2 linked regions of the Anolis sagrei genome follow. The protein of the gene in region 1 binds, or shares a complex with, the protein of each later gene. Links are inferred from orthologs where the notes say so. Each region holds a gene or a part of one and is shown in the gene's direction. Other genes may lie near its edges.

Region 1 (14,659 bases):
TGGATAAATTGGATGTCTTAGATTTTTTTTTTTCGGTTGGTGGTGCTGAAATTAGTGTGCATTTTAGGGCCCTTCTACACATATCCTAAAACATGAAGAAACCAGGATAAAAGAGGGGTGGCTGCTAAATGACATTTCCCGAAAATGGGTGCAGATCCGGATAACAAGTTGAAAAAATGTTTTAAAGGTTCACTTTAAACCTGATTTCAATGAAAAATGTGTATATTCGTAAGACTGAACACTCCTGTACTCAAGGAAAATACGTGATTTCGTTTCTATACCCTGGTGTGGACTGCTTCAGCACATGTGCACATTTTAAAATCCTGAAACAGTTGATCTGGACTGTAAACAAAGGAGCCCCAAGCACATAGGTGGCTAAAATGAAGCTCAAATGGAAACCAATTCCCACAAGAACTCTCTGCAAATATTCATTTGTTCTGATCTTTATGAAATTAAACAGAGCTTGAATTTACAGTAAGGTGAGGAGAGATAATAAGAAATCTGCTTGTGTGTACATTTAGATATCCACATGAGCACATATGAGGTCCAGTGCATCGCAGAGAGTCAATTAAAAAGAAAGAAATCTTCCGCTGGATGTCCTGTCCATCTTGCGAATTTATAAAATCCGCTACAAAGGAAGGTGTCAGGATGGCAGGAAACCATTTCTGACAGGTCTGTTTGGACTTGCTCTCAGGTCCTACAATTTTTGCCCCTTATTTGTCCCGCATTTTGACACCACCTGGAAGCACCCTTAGAATCAATTGTGTCTTTGAATTGCTAAAATATGGTATTTTTGCTCCAACTACTATGGGATAGCAGCTAAACTCAGAGTGAATTGGAGCCAATGGGCAATGTCAACAGATTATGTCAACCTTGCTATTCAAAGCATTCTGGGTCTTCAGCTTTATGAACCCTGGCTCCACAATATTCACCACATTTTAGTACAGGGCTGAGAATAAGGCAAGTCTTGCAGATGTCATTTGATTGTAGTTCTCCACATTCGTTACATTGATTATGCTGTCTTGGTTTGCTGGGAATTGTAATCCAGCAGTATTTGAAAGAAAGACTACCGCTCCTTCTACATTGCCATATAATCTACATTATCTGCTTTGGTTTATATGAGTGTATACTGCAATATTATCCAGTTCAAAGCAGATAATCTGGATTATATATGGCAGTGTAGAAGGGGCCTAGCTCTCATGTGCGGTCTCTATTGAGCTTAATATCACAATGATTACAGCAGTGAGGTATCACAGTGAAATTATTTAGATATTCCATTTTCAGTCTCCTTTGTTTTGTCATAACAGAGAACATAGTTCCTACCTCCAAAAAGGTTTAGCCCACTACTGTGCCAAGATGTTTTGTACTATAACTTTTATGATTCTCCCCCATTAGCTATACTGCTAGACACACAGGAGTCATAGGTCAGAATCATCTGGAGAGCTACAATTACAATCCTTGTATAAAGCATATAAATCAATACTTAGTCTGGAGTCTATCTTTATTGTTTGGTGTTTTGTGTCTTCAAGTGGAATCTGACTTACGGAGACCCTATCACAGGATTTTCTTTGCAAAGTTTATTCAGACTTGCAATTGCCTCTTTGATTGAGAAATCCCTCCATGGTTGAGTGGGTATTCAAAGCCTTGTCTCCCAGTTTCAGAGGACTTTATTGTGTGAAACTGGCAAACTGACATTGAGGCATGACTGTCATCTCTAGTGATCTATTGTACAACTCTGCACACAGCCATTACTGGACTGTCACCTCTCACCTCTCTGTGATAACAGTAACAACAATAACAACAAAAACAACAACAAAAACAATAAACTTTATTTATATCCCACCCCCACTCCCCAAAAGGACTCAGGATGGTTTACAACAGAAAAAAACACACTATAGTAATAATAAACATACAACCAAATCAAACTTAAATCACACAATAATTAAATCATAAAACCACATAAACATATTAATAAAATTCAAAAGGACATCACTGATGGACAAGGAGGTATGTGACAGTTAAAACATATACTGAGATTAAAAGGATTACAAAAACTGACCCTTCTTAAAGGGTCGGTTTTTTGGTGACTAACCTATCCCGTCAACAACCACTGATCATATCATGGTCCCATCATTTATCACATGCAATAAATCCAATTCGCTTGAGGCTCTGCTCTCCCACTCTCCTCACTCCACCTTGCAGTAATTCATAGTTTAAAATGTAACTTATTTTTACAAACTTACACAGGAATTGTGAAGTTGTTTTTGCAAAAATATTATTTTTAATTATGGAGCAGTGGAACTGCAAAAAAAGTGGAGTTATACTATTAACTGGAAGTATGGCCATGGGACCACAGATTGCTGAATTGTTGGAGTTGCATGATGGAGAGTTATGATAGCAGGAGGGATCATCCCAGTAAGTAGCCACTATCCTTGATTGAATGAATGCTGTGGAAAAGTGGCTTCATATATTGTCCAACATATACATTACACTATACAAGCTTTTAGGGTAGTCATGGACTAGTTATTCATGAGCTGAGTTACTTCCATTAAGGCTCCTTCTACACTGCCATATAATCCAGATTATGAAATCAGTTATTCCACACCATCTGCTTTGAACAGGATTATATGAGTCTACACTGCCATATAATCCAGTTTAAAGCAGATAATCTGTATTATATATGGCAGTGTAGAAGGGGCCTAAGGAAGTTTACCTAGCAAGGTAACAGCATCTCACCTTCCTCCTAGTGAATCTTTTATCTCGACTGCTTTTCTCACTTTTATTTAAGAATGTATTGACGCTACCAATGCATCTCCTTCTTGTACACTGAGATTTCTTATATATTGCTTGAAAGCATCAGACCCCCTGGAGAGTAGATAAAAATACTGGGGAGAAAATAATATGTCAGGGAGCAGATTTGGCAACTGGGACAGTAACAGGTATACCCTTTCTTCCTTGAATCTCATTCATAAAAATATAAGAAATTCTACTCTAGATACAGAATAATTCATTCCATTCATTCTATGGCACATGCTGGCCTCTGATACTCTATGGCTATTGACCTCTGTTTCTACTCTTTATATAGCTAATCCGAAGACTCTTCCCATAAACACTTAGCAGTGCTTTCACTCATCATGTACAGTCAGTGTTCTTTGCAAGCATTCACATATCCACTCTTCTTTGTTCTTCCATTTCTTTAATTGAATTGCAGCTCCACGAAGATTGCTATGAGAATTCTAAAGAAATTGCTATAATTTCTATACTCATTAGCTTTTTTCTCATTACAAGTTTCCCAAATGCTCCACAAATGAAGGCCACGTGATGCATCGTCAATAACTCATTTATATGTTTTGGCAGTGATTACATTAGTGCTGGATTTGGGGGCTCAATTTTATTTTATTTATATTTCACTTAGAATCCAAAATGGAGCTCAGAGTGGCTTATAATATAAGTAAAAAATAGTTAAAACACTATGTGATAACAAAAGCATTTGTAGTCAATCCAATTAAAATATTGATGCATTAATTTTATATTTTTTATAATTTTATAAAATTTTATAATAACATATTCATAATACAATTAGTCTGGGGGCAATAGAAAAGACCCACTTGTTTCCTGGACTCTTTCAAACCTGGCAGTGCTGACAAGGGCAACTGATTCATCTCTTTCCAGGACAATGTTTCCATCTCTGTTTTAAGGTGCAACATGTTTTCTCAAAATCCTTCAAACACCTTATATTTTCAAGGCACTATGTTAGTTTATTAGAACTATTTCCCATGAAGGTCCAATATTAGAAAAATCCCATTTTCAGTTCTTCTTTGCTAGCACCCACACTTTTGAATGCTTAAAGATATATTTGGCAGTGTTTAAACAGAAACACTATCCAAATGTTGTCTTTAATTATTGATTTGAGCAACAGATGCTGATAAAAGGCCTATATAAGAAGAGAACAGTAGGTCTAACTTTATCCATGTGGCATACATTTCTGGCCAGACCACAGTTACCAAAAACCACAGGCATGACTCAACACTATTACATTACCTGACTTCCAGTTTTAGACTAGGGCTCTTCCATACAGCCCTATATCCCAGAATATAAAGGAAAAATCCCACAATGTATGCATTGAACTGGGTTATCTGAGTCCACACCCAGATAATGTGGGATTTTCTGCCTTGATATTCTGGGATATAGGGCAGTGTGGAAGACCCCCTAGATATTCCTACAAAGGCACATTTTAGGAATTTTCTAGGTCCACCTGAGTGACTCTGTAGTAATATCTGGGAAAAGGATGCCATAGGATCATCTGGAGGACCAAGCACATTCCCTGCATGTGGGTAAGTGAAACCTTGAATATGGGTTTTCACAGAAGTCTTGGAATCCAGGAATGCTAGTTTTCACCAAGGTTAAGGAAACACTAGGTAGATTTTGGAACTGAACCACAAGTTTGCAGTCCTCATTAAGGACTTGGATAACATTCAGATGAGTTGCCTGGCAGGGAAAAGCCCTTCCCCCATTGGCTTCTCTGCCTGCCCACCTCTCTCTTTCTATCCCCTGCTTGATAGGCCCCTTCTACACTGTCATATAATCCAGATTATCAAAGCTGATAACCCACATTGTCTGCTTTGAACTGGATTATCTAAGTCTATACTGCCATATAATCCAGTTCAAAGCTGATAATCTGGATTTTATATGACAGTGTAGGAGGGGTCTTATGGTCATAGAAACACTTGACATCATTTTTCAGAAATCTTGGAGAATCCTGGAGCCAGACCTCAATGGATAACAAGGGCCCACTGATTTCTACTTCATCCAATATGTAGTTGAATTTTATTTGGTCATATTGGTAAAAGACTCTAGATATTGGTAAAAGACTCTAGAATACTGTTAATCATTAAAGAAACAAACTATGCCTAACAGAGGAAAGGCTCCCAATAAAGAATTAAGTGCAATAATGCTAATCAATGGCTGGAAGAACTGATATTGACTGCACAGGCTGTAAGATTCATCTGTGGCTAGATCTACACTTCCCTATATTCCAGGATCAGATCTCAGATTATTTGGAAGTGTAGACTCATATAATCCAGTCCAAAGCAGATAATCTGGGATCAGATCCTGAGATATAGGGCAGTGTAGATCCAGCCTAGTTGAGTACAATCCACAAGAAATTCCAGTTGGGTTTCTGACACTGTAGAATCAATGCAATTTGACAGCATTTGAACTGCCAGGGCTCTATGCAAGGGCTCGGTCTTGGGTCTGGTGAGGCACACTGTGAAACGACAACTCCTATGACTTCTTAGCTTGAGCTATAGCAGTTCAAGTTGTGTAAAACTGCATGAAAACTTTCCCATGGCTTAAAACCACAACAATCAGCCATATAACCTAGAATATCAAGGCAGATCATCCACAGTATCTGCTTTGAACTGGGTTATCTGAATCCGCACGGCCATATATTCCAGTTCAAAGCAAATAATGTGGGATTTTATATACAGGGTGAGGCACATAATTTCCTTTTTTAAAATGCGCGCCATTTAGTTGGTTGAAGATGTAGCGGAGCGCTAGTGGTCTCGTTCGAGAGGCGGGAGTATAAAGTTTTGTCCTGACACAGTTCAGCAGCCATCATGCATTGGAACAGTGAGGAGTGTGCTTTTGCCGTTGAGGCCTACTTTTCGAGTGGATTTGGAGTGGCCGGCCCGCTCTCCAGATTTGGCCCCTTGTGATTTTTTTCTATGGGTTTTTTTTTTTGAAATCCCGTGTTTATGTGAACCGTCCAAGGACCCTACAAGATTTGAAGACCAACATCCAGGAAGAAATTGCCAACATAACGCCTGCTATGCTGGCAAGAGTCATGACAAATGCCAGAAATCGATTTACTCAGTGTATGGAGAATGGGGGACGTCACCTACCTAATTTGATCTTCAAAACTACGTAAAACAAAACTTTAGGTATGCGCCTACAATATATATATATAAAAAAATTCTGATTCATACAATGGGTTTTATTAAGTTTTGAAAAAAGGAAGTTATGCTGCCTCACCCTGTAGCTGTGTGAAAGGGCCAACAGATTATCTGTTTATTGCAGATTAAATGGCAGTGGAGACTCAGGGTCCTTCCACACAGCCATATAACCCAGAAGATCAAGGCAGAAAATCTCACAATATTAGCTTTGAACCGGGTTATCTGAGTCCACACTGCCACATATACCAGTTCAAAGCAGATAATGTGGAATTTTATTCAGCTATGTGGAAGGGGCCTTAGGGCCCTTCCACACTGCCAATATCAAGGCAAAAAATCCACCATATCTGATTTGAACTGGGTTATCTGAGTCCACACTGCCAGATAATCTAGTTCAATGTGGATGTTATACAGCTGTGTTGAAAAGACCTCATATAATCAAGTCCAAAGCAGATACCCTGGGATCACATCCTGGGATATAAGGGCAGTGTAGAAGGGCCCTTCCACACAGGTCTACATCAAGGCAGAAAATCCCACAATACCTGCTTTGAACTGGTTTAGCTGAGTCCACACTGCCCTATATCCCAGTTCAAAGCAGAAAAAGTGGGATTTTTTGCCTTGATATTCTGGGATTGAGGCCTGTGTGGAAGGGCCCCAAGGTTCCCGCCTTCACCTCACGGTTCCCGCGCCTGGAATTTAAACCGCGATGGCGTCACGCCTGGTCTAGTGGCGCAACGGAGCGGCTACGCGATGACCGAGAAGGAATCCTCCTTGGCTTTTTTCCGTGGAAGACCTCTGGCTCGGTGGATGTCCTCTTGTTGAGAGAGACGCGGGAGAGAGAGAGGGAAACGCCGCTTCCCGCTGTGCCTATGAGTGTGTGTGTGTACCCCGGAACCTCTCCGCCGCAGCTCCAGTGTTGCGCCACGGACGGTGTTCGGTGTGACACCGTCCGGGCTGCGGGGCATTCTGGGGGCCCGCGTTTGAAAACCGTTGCCGTTCCCCCTGTGTCTCCCCCCCCCCCTCACCCCGCTATCTTTCGGCGGATTCCACTAAAATGGCGCCCTAAGTGAGGGGCTGAGCGTGGCGGGGAGAGGGCCTCGGGAGCGGGGAGGGCCCGTGAGCGGGGGCGCCGAGGCCGGGATGGCCAGCCCCGACCAGAAGTCGCCCAACGTCCTCCTCCAGAACCTGTGCTGCCGCATCCTCGGCAAAGGCGAAGGTAACCGCGCTCGGCCTCCCCGCCTCTCCCTCCCCTTCTCCTCCTCCTCCTCTTCCCAGGCCCGAGGTCTGGCCGGCCTTCCCGCCTCTTCCCGCGCAGAAAGAGGGGAGGCATGGGGTGTGTGCTCGCCCCCCTGCTCACATGCACATCTCTCCATCCCGTCAGAAGTCTCGCCCAAAGTGGGCAGCTCTCCATCCTCTAGCTAGGCAGTCCCCACAAAATACACCGCTTTCCGTCCCAACACAGGGTGTCTCCCCCGCCTTCCACATGGGCGACTTCCCACCTCAGCTCTCAAGAGTGAGTGACAGGCCCAGGAATACAAGCTGACCCCAACCCCAAGGTGCATCTCTCCATCCCATCAGGAGCATGGCCTGCAGGAAGTCAGGAAGTCCTCCAATCCCCCCAAATTGACAACTCTCCATTCCGCCAAGAGTGATGGCTGCAGGAATACAGCACCCTTAATAGGGAAGTAGAGTGCCCTCTCTACACAGCTCTCCATCCCATCAAAAAGGAATGCCTGCAGGAATAGAGCCCCCTCCTCTCCCCCAAATGGACCATTCTCCATCCCAGCTCCCTATCCTGTCAAGAGTGATATCCCTAGGAATGCTAGGACTTGTCCTCCTAAATGTAAATCTCTCCATCCCATCAGGAGCATGTCCTGCATGAATTCAGGAAGATCCCCCCCCCCCCCCAATGGACTACTCTCCATTTCGTCAAGAGTGATGGCTGCAGGAATACAGCACCCTTAATAGGGAAATAGAGTGCCCTCTATACATAGCTCTCCATCCCATCAGAAAGGAATGCTTGCAGGAATAGAGCCCCCTCCTTTCCCCCAAATGGACCATCCTCCATCCCAGCTCCCTATCCTGTCAAGAGTGATATTCCTAGGAATACTAGGACTTGTCCTCCCAAATGTACATCTCTCCACCCCATCAGGAGCATATCCTGCAGGAATTAAGGATGCCTCTCCCCCAATGGACAACTCTCCATTTCATCAAGAGTGATGGTTGCAGGAATAGAGCACCTTTAATAGGGATATAGAGTGCCCTCTCTACACAGCTCTCCATCCCATCAAAAAGGAATGCCTGCAGGAATGCAGCCCCCTCCTTTCCCCCAAATAGACCATTCTACATCCCGGCTCCCTATCCTGTCAAGAGTGATATCCCTAGGAATACTAGGACTTGTCCTCCCAAATGTACATCTCTCCATCTCATCAGGAGCATGTCCTGCAGGAATTCAGGAAGCTCCCCCCACCCAAATGGAAAACTTTTCATTCTGTCAAGAGCAGTGGCTTCAGGAATACAGCACCCATAATATTTATTTATTTATTTATTTGCTTTATTTCTATACCGCTTTTCTCAGCCCGTTAGGCGACTCAGAGCGGTTTACATAATAAAGGTTATCACAACAGTATCATGGGCAATAAAACACATTATACATAACAGACAAAATCAAAAAACAATCATTATCATAACGCCTCAATAGCAAATCAGAATCCGTTCTCATAATCCTTTGTACCATTTTCCTATGTTCGATTGTACCATCTTCCTGTATTCAGTTGCACTGTTTAGCCAAACGCTTGTTCGCAAAGCCAAGTCTTAACCTTCCTCCGGAACGCCAACAGCAAAGGGGCCTGTCTGATGTCTACAGGTAGGGCATTCCACAGCCGAGGGGCCACCACCGAGAAGGCCCTGTCCCTCTATATAATAGGGATATAGAGTGCCCTCTCTACATAACTCCTTCCATCCCATCAAAAAGGAACGCCGATTCTCCATCCCAGCTCTCTATCCTGTCAAGAGTGATATCCCAAGGAATACAAGGACTTTCCCTTCCAAATGTACATCTCTCCCATCAGGAGCATGTCCTGCAGGTCTACAGGGTATTTCCCCAAAAAAGTACAGCTCTCCACCCCAGCTCTTCACCATACCAAGAATGATATCCCTGGTAGTACAGCTCCCCTCCCTTCATTCTAGCAAGAGTTAATCCCATTTATTTATTTATTTATTTGTCGTGTCATCCGCAACCAGAACATTGTATTACATTTCTAACAGAACAAAACAAACAAACAGATAAAAACCCACACATTTTGCAAACTTGGTAGCTGATTAAATGTCCTTTGACCAGTATCTGACCACTTAGAGTGCCTCTGGTGTTGCCGCAAGAAGGTCCTCCATCGTGCATGTGGCAGGGCTCAGGTTGCATTGCAGCAGGTGGTCAGTGGTTTGCTCTTCTCCACACTCGCATGTCGAGGATTCCATTTTGTAGCCCCATTTCTTTTTTAAAAAAATATAATCTTTATTGAAGTTTTCTAGAAATACAAACATTAAAATAGAGTAGTATAGATAGCATAGTTAATCAGATAAAGATGTATGAAAATATAGGAGGAAGTAGAAAAGGAATAGAAAAGGGATAGGTAACGGTTGGAAGGAAGATAACCTTCCAGGGAGCGTAGGGGGAGGGAGGGGATATCCTGGGTATCTAAGTGTCGTGGTAGGGATAGGAGGGGAGGAAAGAAAATAGTTTAAGTGAGAAACAGAAAAAGTGAAAAGTTAAAAGAAAAGATTCAAGAAAAAAGTTCTTTCTTCCTTCGATACGACTTCCAGGATTCGTGAGGGGGGAGGCCTCCTCCTCTTCTTTCTTTCATTTTCCTTTCTTCGTCTCGTTTTTCCAATTCTAATTGACTGGGAATCTTATTATGTAATTACTCTTCTGTATCCAGGCCTTTCTGCCTGTCTTTCTATATTTGCTATTAATTGCATAGTTTCAGGTATTCTTTAAATTTTGTCCAATCTGTTCTTGTCTCTTCAACTCCTTTACTCCTTTGAATTATGTAACTTAGACTGTCCATATTTCTGACATCCATCATTTTCCTTTTCCAATCCTCGATCTTAGGTATTTCCTTTTTTCCTCCAGACTTTTGCCAGACAGATCCTGGCCGCTGTTGTCACAAGAAATAGCAGTTTATCTGTATTTTTATCTATCTTAATTTTTGTAATGCCTAATAAGAATATTTCCGGTTTCAGGGGTATCTTAATTTTCAAAATTTTCTGTAATATAATTTGTATTTCTTTCCAGTAGTTTTTTGTTTTCTTACACTGCCACCACATATGGTACAGCGTCCCTTCTACTGTTCCGCATTTCCAACATCTTGAATTTAGGTTTTTGTAATATTTGTTTAATTTACAAGGTGTCAGATACCATCTAAAAAAGATTTTCCACCAATTTTCTCTTATATCATATGCTTTTAAGTATTTTAAGCCCCATTTCTTAAGATTGGCTCTGCATCTCATGGTGCCAGAGCGCAGTCTGTTCAGTGCCTTCCAAGTCACCCAGTCTTCTGTGTGCCCAGGGGAGAGTCTCTCATCTGGTATCACCCATGGATTGAGGTGCTGGGTTTGAGCCTGCCACTTTTGAACTCTCGCTTGCTGAGGTGTTCCAGCGAGTGTCTCTGTCGATCTAAGAAAACGATTTCTTGATTTAAGTCGTTGACGTGCTGGCTGATACCCAAACAATGGATGAGCTGGAGATGTCTCTGCCTTGGGCCTTTCACTATTGGCTGCAACTTCCCGGTGGATGTCAGGTGGTGCAATACCGGCTAAGCAGTGTAATTTCTCCAGTGGTGTAGAGCGCAGACACTCTGTGTTAATGCGGCATGTCTCATTTAGAGTCACATCCACTGTTTTAGTGTGGTGAGATGTATAGCCCCCCTCCCCCAAATGGACAGTTCTCCATCCCAGCTATCTATCCTGTCAAATGTGATATCCCAAGGGACACAAAGTGTGCCCCACCCCTCAAATATACATTTCTCCATCCCATCAGAAGCATGTCCTGCAGGAATACAGCGTATTCCCCAAAAAGGTGCAGCTCTCCACCCCAGCTCATCGCCATGTCAAGAATGATATCCCCGGGATTACAGTCTACCCCAATACATATCTCTTCATCCTGCCCAGTTATTCCTATAGGAATATAGAGCCCCCCCCCCCCGCAAATACACAGCTCTCCATCCCATCTAAAAGTAATTTCTGCAATAATACAGAATGCCCCCCCCCCCAAATGTACACTCTCCATTCTGTCAAGAGTAATGGCTGCAGGTATACAGCTGCCCCAGTAGACAACTCTCTCCCAGCTCTTTTCTGCAAAGAGCGCTATCCCTAGGAATGCATGTTGTTCCTCCAAAAGGAACAACTCTCTGTCCTATCAAAAGTAATTCCTGCAGGAATATAGGGTGTCCACTAAAAAAGTACAATCACTGTCCCAGCTTTCAAGTTTGATACCCTTCAGAATATAAGGTATCCCCCCAATAAATAAATTGTGCAGTTCTCCATCCCATCACAAGTGATGCTGCAGGAAAACAGGGTGTCTCCCAAGAAAGTACAGAGTGTTTCAAAAAGATGAGCCCAATTTGAAATTATTATAACTCTGCAACTATAAACCACCCATGAATGAAAATGTTTCCTCTTGAAAGGGCAAGGCTTAGAGTTCCCAAGGATTACTACTAGATGCGCACAAACAGCCCCTAGCCTCAGTCATTTTCAAAATGGGTACCCAGAAACGAAAGGTCTAATGAGGTATTCTCTATTTGCAGAGTTGTTTTTTATTGGGTTCTTATTCAAAATGGTTAGTAAAACTTGATAATTCATTAAACTTTTTGTAACTTTTTGTGTTATTGTAAAATATTTCCATCATGAAATATACTGCCTTGAAATTCGGTCCATTATTTTGAAATGCCCTGTACAGCTTCCAGTCCCAGCTCTCCTTCCTATCTCTCCATCCTGTCAAGAGTGATATCCCTAGGAAAAGAGGGTGCCCCCCCCCCCCCAATGTACAGCACTTCATCCCAGCTTTCTATTCTGTCAACAGTGATGCCTGTAGAAATATAAGGTGCCCCTTTAACAGCATATAATGCTGAATATATATCCATTTGCAATATCCTCTCCTCCATGTATATACCTTTAATGGGATTCCAATAATAGAGAAGTGTTGCAAAATTTCAAGAGAAACTTTAAGTGAACTTTGTGCTCATTGTTTGACCATGGAAGGAGTTTATTGCTACATGGGGAAAACAATTTGAACACCCTACATAAAATTATATTTTTAGGTTGAATCATTATAGTAACATTTATTCTTCAATATGAATCCATATATTTAGCCTTCCAACAATCCTTCTAGCTATTTTTAACTGTTAAAAGGTGCACAATCACCCCTCCATATCTATGGATTTTGTGCCCATAGAATTAACCACCAGTGGTTTGACAATATATATTTTTAAAAAGTTAAAGCCAAAAGTCAAACCTTGACTTTTGTAGCTTTATGTAAGGGACGTCACAGGGTTGTTGTAGGTTTTTCGGGCTGTATTGCCGTGTTCTAGAAGCATTCTCTCTTGACGTTTCGCCTGCATCTGTGCAAATGTCCTCAGATCTCACAACCTCTGAGGATGCTTGCCACAGAATTAGGAAAAACTTCAGAAGAGAATGCTTCTAGAACATGGCCATACAGCTTGAAAAACCTACAACAACCCAGTGATTCTGACCATGAAAGCCTTTGACAATAAGGGACATAATTTTATTTTGTATAGAAGGGGATTTGAGATTTTTATATCCATTGCGGTGCCTGGAATGAAACCCCAAAGGTTCACTGTGTACATTTTTGAGATACCTTCTATTTTGTGTGTTGAAGAAAGAGGAGATTGTAAGGGCTTTTCTTGTAAGTTTAAAGACAAAAGTTTTCCCCAGGCTCAACAGTCATTATTTGAAGCAAGCTGTCACATTGTGTTTCAACTTAGCTTATTTTATAGGGTGTCTCAAAGAAAGGATAAGATGCAAGGGTGATAAGAGCAGAATGCAATATGAGAGGAATGTAAGGCAGTTTTAATCCTGATGACTGGACACCAAATTTGTGTGAAGTATACCTTCAGAACTATCTGGTGGTTATCGTGAGGCCAATGAACAGCTCTTTGTGGACTTATGTTTTTAAGCAAAGGAAGAAAATGTACAGCACTGACCTTGCTGCTAATTAGTACTGAGAAACATCTGAAACAGAAAAGTATTGAAAGGAGCTTTTGTTTCTTGAGTCAGAACTCTATAAAACATAGCCCAAATATGGTAAAGAATAAGCAGAAAATATTATGCAGAGTCTTCCAACAGAATCATGCAAAAATGGCACCATTATTATCTCTGTCCAGTGCAAATGTTTTTGTCACTCAATTCATTAGCCTACTTCCTAAGGCACTTAAGAGTTGAATTGTAGAAAAACTGTAGTATTGTACACTCAGTAGTGAGGGGGAAAAAAAAGATAAAAACAGTGATAGGTGAAAAACATTGGGAAAGAAAAAGATAAAAAATATAGTAGATACTGTCAAGGGTAACTAGTGTTTATTCTATACTAGCTTGGGGACCCGGCGCTGCCCGGGTTATTTGAGAAAAGTATTGTGTGCCAAGGTTGGTCTTTATCAGTTATTTAGGTGGCTCGCAGTGCTCTCAGGGAGTTAGTGAAGCTACTGCGAGTCCCATCGTCCATGTTCCATCCTCCTCCAAACTGCACCAGGATGTAGAGTGGGTCATGGGGCTATGTGTGCCAAGTTTGGTCTTGATCAGTCATTGGATGAGGGTCGTAGTGGTCTCGGGAAATGAGTGGAGGTACTCCAAGTCCCATCTTTCACGGTCCATCCTCCACCAAACTGCAGTAGGATGTAGAATGGGTCATGGGTGCTCTGTGTGCCAAGTTTGGTCTTTATTGGTCTTTGGTGGGGGCCACAGTAGTCTGTGGGAATCAAAGGGTTGGAAAGTACTACAAATCCCATCCATTGTCCAGCCTCCCACAAACCTTGGGGGCAAAGAAAGGGGGTCATGGGGGTTATGTTTGCCAAGTTTGGTCTTGATCAGTCATTGGATGAGGATCGCAGCAGTCTCGACAAACGAGTGGAGGTACTTCAAGTCCCATCATCCATGGTCTACCCTCCAGCAGGACGTAGAGTGGGTCATGGGGGCTCTGTGTGCCAAGTTTGGTCTTTATCGGTCTTTGTTGGGGACCACAGTGGCCTGTGGGAACCAAAGGGTTTGAAAGTACTACAAATCCCATCATCCGTTGGCTGTCCACTCCCAAACCGCGCCAGGACGTAAAATGCATCATGGGGGTTATGTGTGCTAAGTTTGGTCCAGGTCTGTCGCTCGTGCAAGTCTCTGGCCTGTGAAAGTGAGAGCCAGTCAGAAAGCTGCCACATACACTTCTGCCCTCCGCATACATACATACATACATACAAACATTCACTTTTATTATATACTAGCTTAGGTACCCGGCGCTGCCCGGGTTATTAGAGAAAGTGGGTAATGGCGGTTCTGTATGCCAAATTTGGTCATTGGATAACGGCTGCATTGTTTTCAGGAAGTGAGTGAGGGAACTTGAAGTCCCATCATCCATGGTCCACCCTCCTCCAAACGGTAGCAGGATATAGAGTGGGTCATGGGGGCTCTGTGTGCCTAATTTGGTCTTTATC
Region 2 (15,634 bases), on another chromosome or scaffold:
TCTGGAGAGGCCCTGCTCACGATCCCACCAGCATCGCAAGCACGATTGGTAGGGACGAGGGAGAGGGCCTTCTCGGTGGTGGCCCCTCGACTCTGGAACTCACTCCCCAAGGACATCAGGCATTCCCCAACACTGGCAGTCTTCAGAAGGAGCTTGAAAACATGGATGTTCCAGTGTGCCTTCCCAGATTAAGGAATCCCAAGCAATTGTCCCTAATGCACTTTACGAGAGAGTTAGAATTGTCTGCACACCCTTCTACTCCCCAAATATCCATCCTACCTCACCTGGACATGCCCAGCATTTTTAGAATTTTAACTATTACATTTGGCCCTGCCACAGGTTTTTAACAGTGTCGTGCTTTGTTACTGTTTTATTGTTTGCTTATGTATTGTTGCATTGTATTGTTGTCTGTTGTGTTTTTGTTGATGATGTACTTTGGGCTCGGCCTCTTGTAAGCCGCACCGAGTCCTGCGGGAGATGGTAGATGCGGGGTACAAATAAAGGATTATTATTATTATTATTATTATTATTATTCTCTCATAGTTCAGCTCTACATAAACATCATAGAATTCACACTGGAAAAAAGAGTGGTATTTGATACCAGGCAGACTCTAAGATACATAACGACAATAATTGTAAATGCGAGCACGATACTGGGATATTTTTATCATATTGTGGTCTTGCAGAAGCCCAAAAATATTGGACCCAAATACAAACATTCCCAAAGTTTTTGTCCCTGTGAGAATTGGATTTGGTTTGTTGTGGAAACAAAGACTGGAGAGAAAGCTTCAGTTGAGAGAGTAAAAAGGCAGAGAAATCTAGTTTCAGGAGGGCAGATTTTGATTGAACAATAAACAGACGAGAGTGTCTTGCCAGCAGTGTAAACACATGCATCCTGTGCACGTGTCAGTTTTATTTACATAACATTTATTATCATTTACATTCAGTTGGAAATAAGGACTTTATACCTTTTTGGCGTCCTGGGTTTCCTTCCAGGTGTGCAGAATAGATTGGAAACACCACTGTATGGGCTGGATGCTGCTTTATTGCTGGACATCCCTGAGGAGACGGGCCCTTGCCCTCCGATGGAGGGGGGCCACTCCTGACCGCGTCCAAGGCCAAAGTAGGGGAGGGGGGGAGAGCACTGTCCGGCAGGCTGCCCTCCTGCTCAGGGCCTCTTCCTCCTGCTGCTCCTGCCCTCAAAGGCCCGGGGGGCTCCCTGCCCAAAGGAAATACTGGCTGGGACCCTGGAAAGCAAGAGGAGAGAGAGGGGTCTGGTCAAGGAGAGAGAGGGGTCTGGTCTACGTGGGGTTGCCTTTGAAGACAGCTCAGAAGCTCCAACTAGTCCAACGCTCGGCAGCCATGATTTTAACAGGAGCGGAGCGCAGGGAGCATACAACCCCCCTGTTGCGCCAACTCCACTGGCTACCGATCTGCTACCGGGCTGAATTCAAAGTGCTGGCGTTGGCCTTTAAAGCCCTAAACGGTTCCGGCCCAAGCTACCTATCTGACCGCATCTCTGCCTATGAACCCACCAGGACTTTGAGATCTTCCGGGGAGACCCTGCTCTCGATCCCGCCTGCTTCACAAGCACGGCTGGCGGGGACAAGAGACAGGGCCTTCTCTGTGGTGGCTCCTCGGCTGTGGAACACCCTTCCTACGGACATTAGACTAGCACCATCTCTAATGGTATTCCACAAAAAGGTGAAGAGCTGGATGTTTGTGCAGGCGTTTGAGTAATTTAGTGCAATCTGGGAATGGAACATAGGAATGGAACAATGGACGGCGAACCTGGACTACGCTTGGATGATGAGAAGGTTGGGTACGGTTGTTTCTTGTAATAATTGTGCATTGTAATGGCTTATTGGTAATTTATGGATAATGTGTTAAGTCAATTGTTATATGTTGTATGGAACCACTGCTGTTTCTACTGTTTTTACTGTTTGTGAACCGCTGTGAGTCGCCTTCGGGCTTGAGATACAGCCGTATAGAAGCAAAGTAAGTAAGGAAATAAATAAATAATAAGGCTCGGCCCCAAGTGCCCCCCTCCCCGGTGACCGCTTCTCACCCAAGCAAACCTGGAAAGGAGAGAATCCTGCTTGGAAAGTGAGCAGATCCCGCGCCAGAAAGGCATGTATCCCACTCCCCTGGCCCTTGGTAAGAGAGGAAGGAGGGGTCACTTGGGGGACCCCCCCCCCCCCATCTACTTCCAGCAGGGATGCAGAGCCGGCCTCTATTTCCCTCCTCAATGCAGAGCCTTGTTTGCTGCTCCGTTGCCCTCAGCTGTGTTTCTTTCAGACATTTTTTTTTAATTTATGCTTTTTATTAAGAAATTTTGCATAAAGTAAAACTGATGTTTGCAAAAAAACATACAATGAAAGTGGTGGAACAACTGAAGATGAAAGAAAGTTTGAAACTTGATAGAAGAAAGAAAAGTAATGTAAGTAATGAAAGAATACAAAAAGAAAGAAAAGAAAAGAAAGCCCCCCCCCCCCCTTTCTCAACTTAGAGAGAGTTTTCCCTGCAAGTTGTTTCCAGGTTCTGTTTACCAAGTTTTTAATTACATGTCTGAATTTTTTTCTTTCTTTTTTGTTGTTTTCTTATAATCCCTTCTATCCTTTATGTTTCTTGTAATTTTACATTTAATTTAATGTAAAGTCGTCTGTATTTATTTCTTAGAAATTCCAGAACAATTGGCAAAAATGTAATAAAAATAAAATAAAAATAATAAAGTTAACCTATAAATGTAATAATAATAACAATAATAGAGTAAAGTAATAAATGTAATAATAGTAATAATAACCCCCTCTTGCCTTCTCTTCCTCACCCCCAGACCTTTCTCTCAAGGCCTCAATGGAAGAGCAGCACAATGCTATGGGAGTGGGATAATAATAATAATAATAATAATAATAATAATAATAATAGAGTAAAATAATAAATAACCTTGACTTGAGGATATGCCGAGGGGAGCTTTATCAGCCCAAAAAAGGGCTGGAAATTCAGGCTTATATTCGAGTATATACAGTATTTATTTATTATTTCAGATATTGATACCCTGCCCTTCTCAACCCCCGGTCTGTAACTCCATTGTGCATTACTGTGTGGAAATACAGTTCTAACAGACATGTGGTCACACACGTCCACTGAAGGGTTAAGCAAGGGGCAATTCCCCCCCCCTCCCCACTTCCATTGCCCCCTTCCATCTGCCACAATGGCTCCCAGAAAAGGATGAAGCCACTCACCGGGATCTCAAGGGCCGCTCCCTAGGTGTCGCCTGCCTCTGGGTCTGGAGGGACCCCCTGGGCTCCTCTTCCATGGCATCCGCCACGGGCATCGCCCCCTCCTCCACCACCCCTTCCTTTTGGTCCGCCACCTCCATGGGCGCAGTGCCGTCCTTCCCGGATTGGGGCTTCCTTGCCTTCGCTCTGCTGCCGGAAGAGGAGGGTTGAGGCCAAAGCGACATGGTGGCCGCCCTTTGAAAGGCAGGAGTGGCCCAGGAAAATTGTCCCTGGCAGGCGGGCCCTCCCCCCTCTTGCCTTCTCTTCCTCACCCCCAGACCTTTCTCACAAGGCCTCAATGGAAGAGCAGCACAATGCTATGTGAATGGGATGAAACCATTGGGCCTCCCTCCCTCCCTCCGTGGGCAAGTACCTTCCATGTTTGGGGGTCTTGTCAAAGCGGAAGTCTGGGGGGTAGCAGTGGGTGGTGACCAGGTGCTCCTTGCGGTCCTCTGGGCTCCTGAAGGCCTCTGGGCAGCCCTCCACCAAACACTGGAACTGGGAGAGAGAGAGAAAGAGAGAAAAGGGAGGGTCAGTGGTCAGTCTCCTGGCTGCAAAAGGAGTCCTGGTTTCCCCATTCCCTCAAAATACAATGATCACAGGGACAGGAAGGGAAGGAAAACCCTCTGAGCAGAGGCACAGGCAGCCAAGCATCCTCCGACCACCAGCCCCAGGCTTGTGTGATGACTTTGCCTGACCCCGGGGCTCCTACCATGCTGCGCTGCTGGGCCTGGAGCTGGAAGAGGGCCGCCCCGTGCTGCTCCAGGAGGTGGAGGTCCAGCAGGCGCCGAGACGGGAAGGCCCGGCGGCAGGCGGAGCAGACGTCCCGGTGGAGCAGGTCGTAGTGGTGCTCAAAGGCCTCCAAAGAGGCAAAGGCCTCCCCGCAGCCCTGGAAGTGGCAACGCACCTCCGCCCTAGGAAGGAAGGAAGGAAGGAAGGAAGGAAGGAAGGAAGGAAGGAAGGAAGGAAGGAAGGAGAGACTTTGTTTGTAAGTCGGATGTTTGTAACTTGGGGGTAGCCTGTGTATATATAGTAAAGGTAAAGGTTTTCCCCTGACATTCTGGTTGTGTGTGACTCTGGGACTCTGGAGTTCATCTCCATTTCTCAGCCCAAGAGCCAGCACTGTCCGCAGACACCTCCAAGGTCATGTGGCCAGCATGACTGCACGGATTAGTCTTATATATTTCTATACTGTACTATACCACTATACCACAATATTATTAGTAATATTGCATGCAATATATAATATAGTAAAGGTAGAGGTTTCCCCTGACGTTAAGCCTAGTCGTGTCCGATTGTGAAGGGTGTTGCTCATCTCCATTTCTAAGCTGAAGAGCCAGCACTGTCCGCAGACACCTCCAAGTTCATGTGGCCAGCATGACTGCATGGATTAGTATTATATATTGCACTATACCACTATACCACAATATTATTAGTAATATTGCATGCAATATATAATAAAGTAAAGGTAGAGGTTTCCCCTGACATTAAGCCTAGTCGTGTCCGATTGTGAAGGGTGTTGCTCATCTCCATTTCTAAGCTGAAGAGCCAGCACTGTCCGCAGACACCTCCAAGTTCATGTGGCCAGCATGACTGCATGGATTAGTATTATATATTGCACTATACCACTATACCACAATATTATTAGTAATATTGCATGCAATATATAATAAAGTAAAGGTAGAGGTTTCCCCTGACATTAAGCCTAGTCGTGTCCGATTGTGAAGGGTGTTGCTCATCTCCATTTCTAAGCTGAAGAGCCAGCACTGTCCGCAGACACCTCCAAGTTCATGTGGCCAGCATGACTGCATGGATTAGTATTATATATTGCACTATACCACTATACCACAATATTATTAGTAATATTGCATGCAATATATAATAAAGTAAAGGTAGAGGTTTCCCCTGACATTAAGCCTAGTCGTGTCCGACTGTGAAGGGTGTTGCTCATCTCCATTTCTAAGCTGAAGAGCCAGCATTGTCCGCAGACACCTCCAAGTTCATGTGGCCAGCATGACTGCACATATTAGTATTATATATTTCTATACTGTACTATACCACTATACCACAATATTATTAGTATTATTGCATGCAATATATAATATAGTAACGGTAGAGGTTTCCCCTGACATTAAGTCCAGTCGTGTCTGACTCTGGGACTCTGGTGCTCATCTCCATTTCTAAGCCAAAAAGCCGGCGTTGTCCATAGACACCTCCAAGGTCATGTGGCCATGGGCATGACTTACAGCATTGAGTGATTTTACCTTCCCACTAGGCCGTTACCTACTGACTACTCACATTTGCATGTTTTTGAACTGCTAGGTGGGCAGAAGCTGGGTCTGACAGCAGGAGCTCACCCCGCTCCCTGGATTCGAACCACCAACTTTTTGGTCAGCTAGTTCAGCAGTTTAACCTGGTGCATCACCGGGGGCTCCACACACACACACAATGGTTATGGGTCTGCTCTTCCTCCTGTCCCTTTACTCACCGTCTCCCATCCAACTGGGCCTCTTCTCCTCCTCCTCCTCCTCCACCTTCGGCCTCCTCCTCCTCGCTTTGGGCTGCAGAGAGGGCCAGCGTGGCCTGGCAGAGGGACAGGTGCCGCTGGACATCGCCTTCCTGCGGCCAGAGAGACCCGAGAGACAAGGACTGAGGAGGGAAGGAAGGAGGGGGTTGTGGGGCCTCCCTTCATGACAGAATAAGGGGTCTTCTTTGGGGCCTTCTAGCAGTCCATGGTTCTTCTTCTTCTTCTTATAGTATGGTTCCTATTATTATTATATTATGCTTCCTGTTATTATATTATTATTATTTTATGCTTCCTATTATTATTATTATTATTATGTTATTATTATTATATTATGCTTCCTATTAATATTATTATATTATTTATTTATTTAGCAGTTTTGTACACTGGTCTTCTCACCTCTGTTCGAGGGACTCAGGCCGGTTTCCAACATCAATATTACAGACAGTCATCCACTTCGAAGGCACACAACAAATGAAAAAATCCTTGTACACGAACCAAAGTTAATCCAGCAAGAGATAACATATATTATGTTATGCTTCCTATTATTATTATATTATTATTATTATTATAATTATTATATTATGCTTCCTATTATTATTATTATTATTCTCATATTATGTTTCCTATTCTTCTTATTATATTATGCTTTCTATTATTATTATTATTACTATTATTATATTATGCTTCCTATTATTATTGCTACTTTTATTATGTTTCTTATTATTGTTATTATTTTCACATTATGCTTCCTATTCTTCTTATTATTATTTATACGCTTGTATACCGCTAATATCTCAGCCTAAGTCGGCGACTCATTGCGGTTTACAACATTTAAAAACAGTATTCAATTTAAAAGCATAAAACAACATCTACAGTACAAATTATTGGGCCACCAATAAAAAATCCTACGCATCTCGTAACTGAAATCGCAATCCAATTCGTCGTCCATGATTACCAATCCTTAGTCATCAAAATTCGTTGCAACGGATTAACCGAATGCTTGTTTAAACATCCATGTCTTCAGTCTCTTCCGAAACATCATCAGCGAAGAAGCTGATTGTACCTCTATGGGGAGGGTGTTCCAAAGCCGAGGGGCCACCACAGAAAAGGCCCTGTCTCTCGTTCCCGCCAGCCGCACTTGTGAAGCCGCCGGGATAGAGAGCAGGGTCTCCCCAGAAGATCTTAGGGTCCTGGTGGGCTGATAGGTTGAGATACGTTCGGATAAGTTGGGCCAGAACCGTTTAGGGCTTTAAAGGCCAAAGCCAGCACTTTGAATTGGGCCCGGTAGCAGATCGGCAGCCAGTGGAGCTGGTGCAGCAGAGGAGTTGTGTGCTCCCTGCGCCCCGCTCCTGTTAGTATCATGGCTGCCGCCCATTGGACTAATTGGAGCTTTCTTATTATATTATGGTTCTTATTATTACTATTATATCATGCTTCCTATTATTATTATTATTATTATTATTATTATTATTATAACTCCTATTATTATATTATGGTTCCTATTATTATTATTACTATTATTATTATAAGGTTCCTATTATTATTATTATTATTTATTCCGAGGCTGGATGGGCATCTGCCGGGAGGGATCGTGTGGTGCCTCCCTGCCCAGAAGGGGCCTTCTTCTTCCATCTCTGGCATTCTGATCTGGAAAGGCGTTTGGCCTCAAAGTCGGGGCGGAACCTTCCTCCCGGGCCGGGCTCCTCCACCGGAAGACAGAGAAGGAGCACCGCACGGCAAGGGGCGTGGCTTCCTTTCCCCTCCCTCCCTCCCTCCGCAACATCCGGGCACCTCGAAGAAGGGGTGGTGAGCCGGGAAGCGGAGCCGCGCCGGGCGGAAGCGGAAAGGCCCCGAGACGGAGCTGGCCGCCGCTGCCGCCATTTTGCCTTGGCTTCCTGGCCGAAGCGGAAGAGGCGGAGCGAGGAAGACTAACTCTCCATCCCAGCTGCCCTTTCCCTCAGGGAGGCTCCGCCCCTTGGCTTCCGGTTAAGCCGGAAGGGGAGGAGCCATAAAGAGCTGCAGGAAGGATTGGCCTGAGGGAGGTCCCGCCCCTTGGCTTCCGGTTAAGCCGGAAGGGGAGGAGCGAAACTGCGCCATAGCTGGCCGCAGGAGGGTTCGGCCTGAAGGAGGCTCCGCCCCTTGGCTTCCGGCTAAGGCGGAAGGGGAGGAGCCATAACGGGCCTCAGCGGAAGGAAGCAGGTTTTCGTTGCCTGGAGACGGCAGGAAGGGGCGAGCGAGCGGGAGCTGGGCCTGGCCTTCCCCTCCTCACCGTCTCCGTCTCCCGGGCGGGCGGGCGGGCGGCCATGGCGGAGTTCCGGCTGCACCGCGACGTGGACGAGCTTGTGCGTCTGCTGCTGTTGCGGGGCGAGGCCGGCGGGGGCGGGTGCGGGGGCGCCGAGGGCTTCGTGGAGCTCCTCCAGAAGAGCCGCGCCCAGCACGGACACGCCCCGGCACCCTCCGCCGCCAACGCCGCCGCCGCCAAGGTCAGGGTCCGGGCCGGGAGGGAGGGAGCGGGGGAGGAAGCCCTGTGACGCCCTCACTCGCCCAGGGGTCTTGGCCTACAACTCCCAGAACCCCCAGCCAGCCACTTCCCCAGCTGTTCGGATTCCTGGGAGTTGAAGGCCAAAACCCCTGGGGGGGAGGGAGGGGGAGGGAGGGGGGGAGGGGCCCACAGATGTGGAGAAAGAAGCGCTGCCCTCACCCCTCCCATGGCCCCAGGCCCCTCCCCTCCCTGAAGGCCCTCCCACCACCCTATATATATATATATATACACACACACACACACATAAACATAACTCAAGGGATGCTCCCCCGACCCCTTCCCCTCCCCTCCCTTCAGCCCCTCCCCTGCCCTACATAGATAGACATAAACATAAATCCATGGATTCTCCCCTCAGCTCCACCCACTCATCCAGGCCCCACCCTTCACAGCCCCCTTCAGCCCCTCCCACTACCCCACACATACACATACATAAATATATCTCAATGGATGCGGCCATCAGCCCCTCCTACTCCCCCAGACCCCTCCCACCACCCCACATATATACCCATAATTATAAATCAGTGGATGCTCCCCCAACCCTCTCCCCTCCCTTCAGCCCCTCCACTAATGGAGTCCCCAGTGGCACAGTGGGCTAAACCAACAGGTCCAGGTTCGAATCCGGGGAGAGGCGGATGAGCTCCCTCTATCAGCTCCAGCTCCTCATGCGGGGACATAAGAGAAGCCTTCCACAAGGATGATAAAACATCAAAACATCCGGGCAACGTCCCCTGGGCAACGTCCTTGCAGACGGCCAATTCTCTCACACCAGGAGCGACTTGGTCCTGACACGACAAAAAAAAAAGCCCCTCCCACCCCATATATATATATATATATATATATATATATATATATATATATGTTGATACTCCCATCAGCCCCTCCCACCACCACAGGCCCCTCCCACCTCTCTCTCCCTCTCCCTATACTCCACTTGCTTCACTTTCAGCCATAGATGCAGGCAAAATGTCAGGGGAGAATGCTGCTGGACATATAGCCTGAAACACAACCCAGTGATCCCGGCCATGGGAGCCTTGGGCAACACTTTCCTGTTTCTCCTTCCCTCTCCGTTTCCTCAGGCCAAGCTGGCGGAGTGCTCCCGCTGCCCAGAGACCTTCCTGCGGAAGTACGAGGAGCTGAAGGGCAAGAACGTGCGGCACCTTGACGCCCTGCTCGGCCTCCTCGCCCGCCTCGCGGGGGACCCCCCGGTGAGTGAGTGAGTGAGCGAGTGAGTGAGTGACAGCAGTAGACTGAAGGAGAGAAGGGGAGGGGCCTCCGTGGCCATGTGGGGTGCGGGGAGAGGGGTTATTGTTGGACAGGCAATACCCTACAGAGTTACAAACCTCAGAGTTACAAACACCCGACTTACAAATGACTTCTAGTTAAGAACCATGGGGCTGAGGCCACAGGGTGACAAAGGCAAGGACAAGCAGAGCTGTGACTACATTGAACTCTATGGCTTCGCGTTGATGTGGCATTGGGGGCTGAGTGGTGGTGGGTGGGGTGTGGAGGGGTGGGCGTGTTGTTTTGTGATGTGTGCTTGGAAACACATTTAATTTTTTTGTGCAACAGCACCATGACAACAAAGCTATTGTATTGTGTTTCATTCTGCACTCTCAAACCCCGCTTCTCAAATAGAGAGTAACCAGGATTGACCCCTTCCCAATTTCCCGAGAGACGTGCTTGCCGTGGGGAGCCTCCCTCCTGCGACCCTGCCTGACCCGACCCTCCCCTTCTCTCTCCCCTCGCAGACCCTCCAGTTCCTGCAGCAGAACGCCAAGGAGAGGGCCGAGCTTGCAGTGGCCACGGCTCCCGTTGCCGGCCCCGGCATCGCCTCCTCTGCCGCCACCGCCTCCTCCGCCTCTTCTTCAGCCCCGAAAATGACGGCCCAGGAGCTGGAGGAGCTCCGCAAGCAGCTGGGCAGCGTGGCCGCCTCCGGGCCCCAGCACCACCGGCCCAAGGTGAGCCGGAAGACCCCCACAGGGGGGATATTATACACTCTGTTTGCTTGGGGCTTCCTTGAAGGCACCAGGCACAGGGTGAAGTGAATAAAGGAGAAAGTGCTGCTTGAACAGGGTCACACTGCCAGGAAGCCACACGGCACCCCACTTGCAGAGTCGGCATGTATTCCAGCCGTGTCAGACTCGCCTTGTCTCTCCTGCAGCCGCTGCACCAGGTGCGGAAGGAGCTGAGGGAGAAGCAGAGCCGGAAGAACACCGGGCAGCCCCTCCCCTCCTTCCCCGACTGGGTCTACGAGCGCCCCGCCCTCCTCGGGGACTTCCTCCCGGGCTCCGCCCTCAGCACGGACACGATCGTGCCCATCGGTGGGTTCCTGGAGGGAGGGAGGGAAGGAGGGCCTCTACCAAGGTGTCCATTTCCTGACCCGCGACTCCCAAATAACAAGGCCCACTGTGCCCCCCCCCCGCCCCCGCTTCCAGGCACGCTCCCGCTGGCGGCGCAGGAGTCAGCGCTGGTGGAGGACCTGCTCTACGTCCTGATCGGGGTGGACGGGCAGTACATTGCCGCCCAGCCACTGGTGGGCCAAGAGGGGCGGACCTTCCTGGTGGACCCCAACCTGGACATGTCCGTCAAGGAGCTGGTTGGGCGCATCCTCCCTGTGGCCGCCAGTTACTCCGGGGTGACCAGGTACGCGCACTGGCACTGGGGGGAAGGGAAGCCGTGAGGCAGGGAGTCCTTCCTAAGGTTGGACTCGTTGAGCCGTTGCCCATGGGGCATACGTGTCTTGGCTCCCCCCTTTTTATATAGGTTTGTTGAGGAGAAGGCCTCGTTTGAGTACGGGCAAGTGAACCACGCGCTGGCGGCCGCCATGCGGACCCTGGTCAAGGAGTACATGATCCTGGTCACCCAGCTGGAGCACCTCCAGCGCCAGGGCCTCCTCTCCCTCCAGAAGCTCTGGTTCTACATCCAGCCCACCATGCGCACCATGGAGATCCTGGCCTCCATCGGTGAGGGGCTCCCCTCTCTCCTCCTGGGTCCCTTGCAGACCCCCCCCCCTTGAGAGGAGGGAGAGGGGAGGGTCTCCTCACTCGCCTGCCTTCCTTCCTCCCTCCCTCACCCTCCCTTCGTGTTGCCGCAGCGATGGCCGTGGACCGGGGGGAGTGCGTGGGGGGCGCCACGCTGAGCCTGCTCCACGACAAGACCTTCAGCTCCACGGGGGACAGCCAGGCCCAGGAGCTCTGCCTCTACCTCACCAAGGCCGCCAGCGTCCCCTACTTCGAGATCCTGGAGAAGTGGATCTACAGGGGACTCATCAACGATCCCTACAGGTGCGCAAGGGGAGGGCGTGGCGGGGGGGAGGGGGGAGGGACAGGCACCCAGATCTCACTCTGAGGAATAGTATTTGAACCTTACAATGCTCTTTAATCTGTCTTCAGTGGGAGAGAGAGCAGCAGGCACACATACTCAGCACTGGGTTTTATAAGAGCTACTAGCCATCCCTTGCCACATGTTGCTGTGGCCCAGTCTGTGTATATATGTGTGTGTTTGTGTATATATGTGGTTTTGCATATTTTTTGTAATGTATTGTATTGTTTATTGGCCTTCTACTGTGTTTTTCAGTGTGTTTATCAGTGATGGTCACTCATTGGCCCGAGAGGTGTCTTGTGTCCAAATTTGGGGTCCATTCGTCCAGTGGTTTTGGAGTTATGTTAATCCCACAAACCAACATTACATTATCTAGATTACTAGCCGTCCCCTGCCATGTGTTGCTGTGGCCCAGTCTGTGTATATGTGTTTTGTGTGCGTGTATATGCTTATATGTGTGTGTTTGTGTATATATGTGGTTTTGCATATGTGTTGTAATGTATTGTGTGTTTTTTGGCTTTTTAAATCCCTCCTGTTGTGTTTTTCATTGTTTTTATGAGTGATGGTCACTCATTGGCCCGAGAGGTGTCTTGTGCCCAAATTTGGTGTCCATTCGTCCAGTGGTTTCTGAGTTCTGTGGCCCAGTCTGTGTATATGTCTTTTAAGTGTATACATGTGTGTGTATATATTTATGTATATGTGTATATATGTGTGTTTGTGTATATATTTGGTTTTGCATATGTGTTGTAATGTGTTGTCATGTATTGTATTGTTTTTCGGCTTTTTAAGTCCCTTCCACTGTTTTTCAGTATTTTTTAATGAGTGGTGGTCACTCATTGCCCTGAGAGGTGTCTTGTGTCCAAATTTGGTGTCCATTCGTCCAGTGGTTTTTGAGTTGTGTTAATCCCACAAACAGACATTACATGTTTATTTATATAGACAAAATGTGGTTACACAGACAAAAAAGGGGGAGCAGCGCATATGCTGTAACATTCACTCACATGCACTCACTCACTCGTGCTCACCACCCTTCTTCATCCAGTTCATCCTCACTTATACTTCAGCATTTACTCCTAATCCATACATTCCACATTCGTCCTCACTTCCCTTCTCCGCTCAGTCCGTCCAGCTTCTTGGTTGTGTGTCTGAGGGCAGGAGGGGATCCTGTTGTGGCCGGAATGCCACTGCCCCCTGCTCACCGGTGTCGTCGTGTGTGTGTGTCCCTCCCCCCCCCCCCCCGGCAGTGAATTCATGGTGGAGGAGCACGAGCTGCAGAAGGAGAAGATCCAGGAGGATTACAACGACAAGTACTGGGACCAGCGCTACACCCTCGTCCCGCAGCAGATCCCCTCCTTCCTGCAGAAGGTGGCCGACAAGATCCTCAGTGCAGGTCAGGGCCACCCTCCGGCTTTGGTTTCAGCTTTCCGGGTTCCCCTGGGAGTCCAGGGGTCAGCACTCCTTCCTTCCTTCCTTCCTTCCTTCCTTCCTTCCTTCCTTCGGAGTGAGCCGGGACTCATCGCTGAGCCTGGAACCCCAGGTCTTGGTGGTGGCCAGGGGAGCTTTTGCACAGTTAAAGCTTGTGTGCCAGCTGTGCCCATATCTTGGTAAGTCTGACTTGGCCACGGTAGTCCACGCTCTGGTTACGTCCTGCATAGACTACAGCAACACGCTCTACATGGGGCTGCCTTTGAAGACTGTTCAAAAGCTCCAAATGGTCCAGCTAGCAGTAGACAGGTTGCTAACAGGAGCGGCACTCAGGGAGCATACAACTCCGCTGCTGTGTCAGCTCCACTGGCTCCACCGGGTACAATTCAAAGCCCTAAACGGTTCCAGCCCAGCTTAGCTGTCTGAACACATCCCTCCCTATGAACCCACCAGGGACTTGAGATCGTCCGAGGAGGCCCTGCTCTTGATCCCGCCTGCTTCACAAGCACGTCTGGCGTGGATGAGAGACAGGGCCTTCTCTGTGGTGCCCCCTCAAATGTGGAACTCCCTGCCCAGGGATATTAGATCGGCCCCCTCCCTCCTAACCTGAAAACGTGGCTCTTTGAGCAAGCTTTTTGAGCCTCAGCATAATTAGACAAATTTGAAACAGAAAATGACCCGGGAACGGCTAAGACAACAGGACAGATGAGGACTGGACATGGCGACGTAGTTTTAATATTTTTATTGTTCAATGTTTTGATGTTTTTAGATACAGTGTAATGGGATGCTTTATTGTTATTGTTGTATGTATTTTATATATGGCATCGAATTGTGCCGACTGTTTGCCGCCCTAAGTCGCCTTCGGGCTGAGATGGGCGGGGCAGAAATAGCGTAAATAAATAAGCAAATAAATAGATCCCTCCTCCCTTCTGTGCAGGGAAGTACCTGAACGTGGTGCGGGAGTGTGGCCAGAACGTGAGCTGCCCGGTGGCCAAGGAGGTCATCTACACCCTGAAGGAGCGGGAGTACGTGGAGCAGATCGAGAAGGCCTACAGCTACGCCAGCAAGGTCCTCCTGGACTTCCTCATGGAGGAGAAGGAGCTCGTGGCCCACCTACGGTGCGTCCGCCCGCCCACCCGCCCCTCCAGCGCCCCTCCCTCCAAAGGCAGGCCATGGGTTTGGCCCCGCTCCAGAAAGGGGCCCCGGTTGGGAGAGATACTTGGGAAGAGGCTGTTGGCCCAGGGCATCCTGGGGGGGGGGGGCAGGAGTAGGAGGAAGGGTTGGGTGAACTGTCTCCTTGCCGTCACGAACAGAGACATGCACATCGTCGCCTTCAAGGCATATGGGAGAGAGACCTTGGAGACACAAATTGAGTCTGAGGTTCTGTTTAGTCTGCAGAAGAAGAAGAAGAGGGGCGAGAGGAGCCCCGAGGGTTCCCCTGCCTGCCTTTCCCCATGGACGTGTGTGTGTGTGCACCCCTTGGCCCTCCTCTTGGCCCTTTGCGGGGTCCCCGGAGGCTGTCCCCTGCCGACTCGGCCCGGCCCCCTTCCGGCTCCCCCTTTATTTCCAGGTGGCTCTCTTCCCTCCTCTCCCTCCCTTCAGCTCCATCAAGCACTACTTCCTGATGGACCAAGGGGACTTCTACGTCCACTTCATGGACCTGACGGAGGAGGAGCTGAAGAAGCCCGTGGAGGACATCGTGCCCACCCGCCTGGAGGCGCTGCTGGAGCTGGCCCTGCGCATGAGCACCGCCAACACTGACCCCTTCAAGGACGACCTCAAGGTACGCCGGACCAGGCGCCCTTCCCGCTCCTCCTTTAGCCTCTTGCCTTGGGTTGGGCTGCACTGGGAACAGCCACTCCTGGTCAATCCCTTCTTCAGAATCGTACAATATCCATCAGTCCAAACACAAGGCCCACAAACACTCGTAACCTAACGCCACTGTTCCCTCCCCGATGGGCCCCCTCCCCACAAATGTGTCTGTTCATGGCTCTCTCGTCCAGTGTTTTATCATTTTATGTCGCGCATTTGCCCCCCCCCCCCCACTGTGTTTTATTCTCTGTTATGTTATTTTGCACTGTTTATTTTACTTGGTTGGTTTATTTATTGTGGTGTTGTTTTTGTTGTTTATATTTTATGTATTGCTGGGCTTGGCCTCATGTAAGCTGCCCCGAGTCCCCTTTGGGGAGATGGTGGCGGGGTATAAATAAAGTTGTTGTTGTTAGTAGTAGTAGTAGTATTACTATTATTGTGATATATTGTTTTACTATATTGCTGGGCCTGGCCTCATGTAAGCTGCCTGAGTCCCCCTGGGGAGATGGTGGCGAGGTATAAATAAAGAGTATTATTATTATTATTATTATTATTATTGTGTTATATTGTTTTACTGCATTGCTGGGCTGGGCCTCATGTAAGCCGCTCAGAGTCCCATTTGGGGAGATGGTTGTGGGGTATAAATAAAGATTATTATTATTATTATTATTATTATTATTATTATTATTATTATGATAACCGGCTGTAGCTCTTTCCAAGACGTTGCTC

What was found.
Region 2: the proteins of TUBGCP3 (region 1) and TUBGCP2 are in contact, whole or in part, in a cryo-EM structure (PDB 8Q62), measured with the Homo sapiens proteins. The link is inferred for Anolis sagrei from reciprocal best matches to the Homo sapiens genes TUBGCP3 and TUBGCP2. Residues at the interface, in NP_006313.1 of Homo sapiens: Glu272, Asn273, Cys274, Ser286, Leu287, Asp289, Thr290, Val292, Arg293, Glu296, Trp299, Ser361, Thr363, Leu364, Arg365, Leu368, Val369, Tyr372, Lys375, Ile376, Lys379, Ala382, Ala383, Asp386, His387, Ala402, Tyr403, Lys405, Thr406, Gly407; in NP_006650.1 of Homo sapiens: Gln172, His173, Pro175, Ile176, Phe177, Pro178, Trp180, Arg184, Ala186, Leu187, Ile188, Gly189, Phe191, Leu222, Tyr223, Val226, Val228, Asp229, Gly230, Arg231, Glu278, Ser281, Phe283, Gln287, His290, Ala291, Ala294, Arg297, Val300, Lys301.

Annotation. Positions count from the first base shown.
Region 1 is NC_090023.1:109,016,639-109,031,297, forward strand, and holds the start of TUBGCP3 (gamma-tubulin complex component 3), read left to right. Parts: upstream 1-6,877; 5' UTR 6,878-7,091; coding exon 7,092-7,167; intron 7,168-14,659. UniProt on the Homo sapiens protein: Component of the gamma-tubulin ring complex (gTuRC) which mediates microtubule nucleation.
Region 2 is NC_090032.1:193,579-209,212, forward strand, and holds the start of TUBGCP2 (gamma-tubulin complex component 2), read left to right. Parts: upstream 1-7,972; 5' UTR 7,973-8,108; coding exon 8,109-8,288; intron 8,289-9,423; coding exon 9,424-9,552; intron 9,553-10,095; coding exon 10,096-10,305; intron 10,306-10,508; coding exon 10,509-10,668; intron 10,669-10,782; coding exon 10,783-10,990; intron 10,991-11,110; coding exon 11,111-11,310; intron 11,311-11,441; coding exon 11,442-11,631; intron 11,632-12,912; coding exon 12,913-13,058; intron 13,059-14,030; coding exon 14,031-14,211; intron 14,212-14,695; coding exon 14,696-14,876; intron 14,877-15,634. Other genes in the region: ZNF511 (zinc finger protein 511), read right to left, coding at 1,169-1,247, 3,243-3,428, 3,652-3,776, 3,991-4,192, 5,767-5,897, 7,597-7,686. UniProt on the Homo sapiens protein: Component of the gamma-tubulin ring complex (gTuRC) which mediates microtubule nucleation.